2 linked regions of the Drosophila melanogaster genome follow. The protein of the gene in region 1 interacts with the protein of each later gene in a pairwise test. Each region holds a gene or a part of one and is shown in the gene's direction. Other genes may lie near its edges.

What was found. Proteins that work in one complex are often made in the same cells at the same time.
Region 2: the proteins of TwdlW (region 1) and E23 interact in a two-hybrid assay, tested with the Drosophila melanogaster proteins (one large-scale study listed by BioGRID).

What each region holds. Positions count from the first base shown.
Region 1 is NT_033777.3:17,140,676-17,144,431, reverse strand, and holds TwdlW (TweedleW), read left to right. Parts: upstream 1-2,027; 5' UTR 2,028-2,119; coding exon 2,120-2,134; intron 2,135-2,205; coding exon 2,206-3,117; 3' UTR 3,118-3,224; downstream 3,225-3,756. Other genes in the region: CG5265 (uncharacterized protein), read right to left, coding at 3,394-3,756.
Region 2 is NT_033779.5:3,353,040-3,356,795, reverse strand, and holds the start of E23 (early gene at 23), read left to right. Parts: upstream 1-1,966; 5' UTR 1,967-2,322; exon of another isoform or gene 2,323-2,957; intron 2,958-3,081; 5' UTR 3,082-3,403; coding exon 3,404-3,756.

The sequences.
Region 1 (3,756 bases):
CATTTTTAGGCCAATAATTAAAAATGCATTTATTACGACCGGATGGATGGTAGGCATCGATCGCAGGGGCATTTATCGCCCAATCGTTTCGATGTGATGGATTTGGGATACGGATTCGCAGGTGGATGTAGTTTGGGTTCGGATTCGGTTGCTAATGCTATGCATAGGAATGGACAAAGGTAGCCTATGTCAAAATCTCTCATGGTGTGAATTAATAAATTAAAATAAAATAGTTTTGTTACGCAAATCATAATTTGTGTACCGTCAACATTCACTTTTATGCTTTGACTAATCTGCGCACCGAGTGTTTTGCATTCAATAGATTTTGGCAACTTATTCATTTTGCATAAAATATGCAAAGTGCGGCAATAGTTGGCACCCATTAATCATGGTCGCATTTTATTTCCATTTAAAATTGTAATTTTCTCTTGTTGCTACTTTTGAACTAATGCATTTAGATCTATTAATTAATGACAAAGTAATTTTGGTTTCCCATTACAAACAGAAAACAACTTATCGTATATTTCTTTGACAGATCTTTGCATCTTTAATGGCCCAAAAAGGGAACATAGTTTCGGTTCCATTTCACTGTTTTTCATGGCTCACGAAATTGGCGTGAGAAAGTTGAAAACCATTTTTTTTTTTTTTTGGCATCGACCAGAAAACATGTGGGCTAACTCATTATCTGGTGGCCAAGTTGCCCTTGGCTGGTTTATTTTGATTTGTGGGCAGAATTTCACCCGGCTAATGAGATGCACCCTGTCGGATGCACAAGATTTTGAAATATATCTCAGGTGGCAAAGTGGCAAGTGTGTAAGTCCAAATTGGAAAGGAAGCAGCAAAGCTTGCTATCTCCGCTTCGATATTACACCATTTGCACATTCACTCCATTAGTATGGAGACCTGCCAATTAGCCCTATAAGGTCTATATCTGCTTGTATTCCGTATGCATCTGCTTGTTATGACAACTAATTTCCGCTGGAAGCTGGCATATCCATTTGATACGCTGTGCTTTCGATTTGATCGGGGGTTATTTACCTTCACTTTTTTAGTTTGAAATCCAATTCAAATTCAATACTATCATTTTGTCTCAATTTGGCACATTTAAAGCTGACAATATATCGCCCAACACTTACGCCCCATCGAATGGAGACAAAAACCTAGACCTTGGGCCAGACCAAAACTGATGCGAAATACTGAAGTCCCCGGCATATACAATTTTCAATTTCCATTTGATAGCTCAGGTTTCGAACAATAAAACAAAATAGAGACAATGGTCCCGTAGACAAAAGTGCATTTTAAGTCGGTCGAGTAACCTCGTCCGCCTATCTTCGTCATCAATATTTACATATTACTCTGGGACATTCAACTGATCTGCAAAAACTACGAAGCTAAACAAAACTTTTGTATTAATTTAAACGACGATTTGATTGTCCACTTGGCAGCCATGGATATGCTTGGGTATTTTAATTATATTTACAATTAAATGATTAAGTAGTTTCTCAATAAATGTTTTTACTGCCTGTATGAAAAAATCTAAATATAAATCTATAATCAAATTCAATGAATTAATTGCAATATTGAGATTGAAGTTAGTATAGTTACTAGGGATCTGATGAATGAATAGTTATTTGAATTTTGTTTATATTCTGAAATCGTATTAGATACTTGCTTGGAGTGAACGCACACTTAATATATATTATATTTATAAGGCAAATGTTCAAAATGATATAGTTACAGCTCGACTAACTTGTTTACAACAAATGCAGATTTTTTTTTGTCGTATCTGTATCACCCATTGTTGGGGCTTCCTCTCGCTCGACTTTTGTGGAACCCCATGTAAAGTCGATACAAAAGCCCACTTGCCACCCAGCCAAATGAATCCGAACAACCTCTTCGCCACGCATAACAAATGTTTTATGACCCCTCGACTGTTGCAACTGTGTTGGCTGCTGTTTCACGATTTGTTTCCGATTATAAACAAGTTGGGCCCGTGGATTGGTATAAAAGGCCAGGTGCCCGGTTGACCCATCATCACAGCACTAAGAAACTCGGACAGCGAGGGAGCATCCGGCTTAAGACAGCTAACCAGCAGAGAGACACCCACCCAAGCGGCAGCATGAAGATATTTGTGGTGCGTTGGAACTTGGACTACCTCTATGCCAATTGGATTACAAGGGATTATAATGATTGCTTCTCTTTCAGACGGTTCTGATGGGCGCCATGTGCCTGAGCCTCAGCCAGGCTGACATCAGCTTGACCCAGGCGGGTTACAACTACCGCATCCAACAGCAGCAGCAGCAACAGCAACCGCCCATTGTGGCCCACCTGTTGAACCAGCAACTGCAGCAGCAGCAGCAGCTCCAGCCCCAGCAATCCTCGCACCCGGTGCTTCCACCTCTCCCACTGCCCTACCTCCCGCCCGCTGGCCAGTTCCATTCTGCCCAGCCTGCAGTTCGTCCCACAGCCGGATCGTTTCCCATGCCCGCCGGCTTCCCCGTCAATTTCCAGACCGCTCCCATCCAGCAGCAGCGACGCGCTCGTCCGCGTGTCAGGATTCCCAAGCGTCCCATTGTGACCAAAAACTTTTTCATCCACTCGGCGCCCGAGGAGTCTGAGGATGAGGTCCAGGACGAGCTGAACCAGTTGGCCCAGCAGCCCCGTAACCACTACAATGTGCTGTTCGTCAAGACGCCGGCTCAGACCAATCGCGCGGCGGCTCTTAACTTGGCCAAGACCCTTAAGCAGGAGAAGACCGTGGTCTATGTGCTGGCCAAGAAGACGACCGCCTCCGATCTGCAGGATGCCATTGCCGAGGCGCCACAGCACATCAATAAGCCGGAGGTGTTCTTCATCAAGTACCGCACTCCAGAGGAAGCTCTGAATGCCCAGCGGCAGATTCAGTCACAGTACGATACTTTGGGAGGAAGTTCGACCATCACCGACGAGGGTGTGGCCCCCATCACCTCGGTGGTGGGATCCCTGGATCCTCCAGAGGAGGAGGAGGAGGAACAGCAACAGCAGCAACATTCAGAGGGACAATTTGCGGAGAACGGTGCCGGAAACTCTGGCGTCGGTCCCATCGGCAATCATTATTTGCCCGCGAACCAGTTCTAAGTATTCTTCATTGCTCGTCACATCCAGATCTAGTTAGCTGTCATCAACACCACTTAGGTTTAAGTGCTTGCCAATGTTACCCAAATCCGTATTAAAATATAATTGTTAAAAAAAAAACCATTGAATTTTAACTAGATGACGATTTTAAGAAGTGATTAATAGTACTTTAATAAGTCCCACTAAATGGGAATGAATTTAGCTTTCCAAACTGAACGAACGTATTATTGGAATAAGAGGAATTTTTTTGGATCCAAAGTATGTTCTAGGAAAACACATTCAATACTTGCACTTAAGCTCTGGCGGCTTGTCTTTTGAAGCTGGACATGTTTCAAGTACATCCTTCATTTCAGCAAAGGACTGCGCAAGCGCCTTGGCGATCTTTTGGTGATCAGTTGCCTGACAATGTCGCCATGCGGATATGGCCAAAATGATGTCATGTTCACGGGGATTGTAGCAACAGGCATATCCATCTTCTACAGAAGGTCCATATCCCATGAAGGCATCATATTTGGTGGCCACCTGCGAAGTGGACATTCGAAAGTGCGTGGACTTTACATATCCTGGCGAAGAGAAGAACTCCGGAACAGGTAGGCAGTTCTCCACCGCCATTAGTTTAAGTCCAAAGAGGTGACGATCGAC
Region 2 (3,756 bases), on another chromosome or scaffold:
CTTCTTAACTGGCTACAATTTTCAACACAGCTGTATATAATACACATACGTGTATATAGTCGACTAAGAAATTAAATTAATAGAAAATTTAGCAAATAACATACAAAATGAAAGACCAAGAAACTATTCACATTCCGACATCGCTTAATAAAATTTGTCTAGAAATTCAATATTTGCCGTACGCTCACACGTACACTTAGAAAAATGGCCCACCATACGCACTAGCACACATCAGAAGAAGAAAAGAGCAAATTAAGGAGAAAAAGAAAGAAAATAAGAATCTTATCAGCGGTAGAACAAAAACAAAGTTCAGTAAAAAAAACGAAACAAAAACAAAAAGAAAGCCACCAGAAGTCGAGAGCAACAACAAATTGGCTGTGTGTTTTTTCAAGGTTAAGAGCAAGTGCGTGTGCGTGAATTGGTGCCACTGTATGGGTGTCTCGCACATTTTGCACATTGTGCGTATAAATAAAAAACAGTAACAACAGTAAAACCACCAACACAGCAACAGGAAAAAATAATTTTTTTTATAGAGAGCCGAGAGCTACGCACCGAAAACGAGAAAAAAACATAGCGGCAACTTGGCGACTTATTCGCTCCAAGTTTATGGCAACACAATAAACTTAATAATTTCGCTGCAAACTGAACAATCATCATTATTTAGGCCTAATATGCAATTGTGCGTTATTTTCCATCTGATTTGGTCAACGACCCAGCGCAGGTGACACATTTTAAGGCTTATAATTGTATTATCGTTCCAAGTTCTAAGTGTAATCTCCTCCTCCCTCGTTTTCCCCTTACCGCCCTCTGGCCACCCACGCACACAATCGTATCCGCGGATTGCACGCACACACGGTTCGTATACGCATTCAAATTGCGTATACGCAGCGGTTACCCTCGAGTTTAATGACTGATAAGATTGGAAAGCGGGCATTTGCCTAACAGCATTAAGAAGAAATTATGAAGCGAATCTTCTAGAGACTTAATTTGTTTTAATTGTACCCTATTAAAGGCTCGCAGACCAACAAATATTTTATTGTCAACTTTAATTTCAAGTACTTAAAAAAAGGTATAGAAAATTTCATTGTTGATCCAACTCCTTGATAAGTACAATATAATTTGTAAAGAAGAAAAATTGCCTTCAAAAGATATCGAAACGTAGGACAGACTCAAAAATTAGTAAAACTTTTTGTTTCGCGAGACACATTAAATCGCCCGAAAACCGCTTGCTACTCCAAAAACGTCTCGAAACTTGTTGAATGACTTCTGGGTTGCCAGCCAAGACCTTAAATTTCTATCACCAAGTTGAAATTCGAGATCAGTCAAACTAAATAACCAACTTTTATTGGTTCGCTTTATTTATCAACGAAGATTACCAAAGTTCGTTGGGAACTGAATATGGATAACAAAATGTTGAGCCCTGTTACTGTTAGGGAACAGCAGGGGAAGTGATCTCGCTGTAAGCCCATAACATTTGTAATGCAATGTACGCAGAGATAACTTAACATTCATGTAATAGAAAGAGAGCAAGGGAGAGAGACTGCACTTAAAAAAATATAACTACTTATTACTATAATTCGTATTAAATAGTGTTTACACAAAAGAAGGCCAGGGATTTTTAATTTTAACGTAATCAATTATTTCTTAACTTACTTTATAAAATTTTAACTTTATCATCTAATTTTTTAATTTTTATCATTTTTCGATACTGCAGAGATATCTCTTACATGCCTTCTGAATGCAAGCCATAATTTGTTTGGTTTTTCATTCCTCGACTTAAAACATACACCTTAGGGCGATTTTTCTCGGTGCAAGCTCCATACGCACGTGTGGTGATCGTAGGCGGCGAGAATGAGTGTGGGGGGAGAGTGCGCGAGAGCGAGAGCGCGAGAGAACGGGAATGAATGAGCGGCGACTTTTGGAGCGCTGGCGCAAGCGTTTAGCTTTAACGGTCCGCGATCAGTTCAGTACGTTCAGATCAACGGGCGCCGTTGGATGTTTTCTTCAATGTTGAAGCGCGCCGAACTCGCGTTGTGTGGAAAAGCGGAATAGCTCTCTGTTTTTCGTCGTGTTTCTACGTTACTTTACTTTTCGTTCGATCTGTCCGTGTTTCGTTTCGGCTTTATAAATCGAGTAATTCCCCATCCAATAATTAACACGCGTGTTATCAAAAATGTTTACAAGAAACCTACATATGTTCAATAAGTAAGCCGAAAAAAAAAGGCAAAGAAATCATTTAAATTGCAAAAAAAGTGCTGACGATTTTTAATATCAAATTCGAAAAAGCAACAAAGAATTTTATTACCTTCCTTCGCTTTTTGGGTGCGTTGTTATTGCAATTACTGCATTTACCTTATATTATATGTTGTTCAAACACACTGAAATCGCTAAAAATGAAAACTGACGTTTTGCTCTGGCGCTTTGTTTCGCGCGGGCTAATTGACAAATATAACAAAATTCGCCAGGCGTCTCCACTTCTCTCTGATTCTCCCCAATTCTCACCGATATTCTGCGATTCCTTTTCATTATCTTTTTCTGTGCCGGTGGCAGTGCATATAGGAAATTGTCGGAAAAGTTCTCAAGCCAAAAAGCTGTGTAGAATCTGAGTTTTTGAGGAGATTCCTCGAAGTCGAGGCAAACATTTTCAAGTTTAAATAAATTATTAAAATTGCAGAACGTTTTTACGAATTAAGTGAAGCCTGAAATGAAGTGAATAGTTTCGGTGAGAGCTGGCGAGCATCTGATTCCAGTGAATAACAGAGATATCGCATGAATAACGCGTGAATAATTAGCACTGCAACTTGAATAAGCAACGAATTCCTAGTAACAATAAATTATAAATTGAATGCAATTCACTGGGATTGTGCAGCAAAAAGCAAACTGCTCATAATAATAAAATCATCACTTTGTTTCCGTGCTTGCCTGACTTTTTACCTTCCGACATCATTGTCGAAAATGTAAATAATTTTGTGTATTCATAATCATGTAATCTCTTAAATCTTAAAATTATATCACAACTTGTTTCACTTGGCTTACATATTAATTATATCTGTACTCTTCTCTGCTCTTACTATATTACAGTCGGCCACAACTCGGGAAAAGAAAAGAAAAAGGAGGCAAGCCAGACAAGCCAGGGAATTATGAAATTTTAAAGAAATCCCCAAAAAAGCCAAGTTCCCAGAGCCGCAAAATATGTTTAATGCATTAAAATAAACGAAACGAAACGAAACGTGTTTAAGGCGAGTGCAGGCAGAAGACGAGCAAAAAGTTGTATACGCATATACACATAGATATATTTAAACAAGATTTACATTTAAAATCCCCCCAATACACACGTACGTATATTTAAAACTGTGGCGGCAACACCAACAACATCCAGCTAAGCGTTCACAAAAAGGTGATAATGATTATTTCCAAGGATCTTTTCATATTTGGCGAACAAATTTTTGCAACAATCATACCAGAAGGTGGAGCCGCGGCGCTGGCAACCCAGCAGCAACATCAGCAGCAGCATCAGCAGCAGCATCAGCAGTCGCATCAGCAGCCGCATCAGCAGTCGCAGCAGCAGCAGCAGCAACAACAGCCGGCAATTATAAATTCAACAACGACGACGGCCACTTCGTTGGTAATAAACTCGACAGCAGGAGCAGCTGAACAAGTTGTAGAGGAGTCATTAAAAGTAGCAGCAGCAGCAGCAGCAGCAACAACAACAACAACAGCCGCAGCAGCAACAACACTACCAGCTAAACAGGAAAC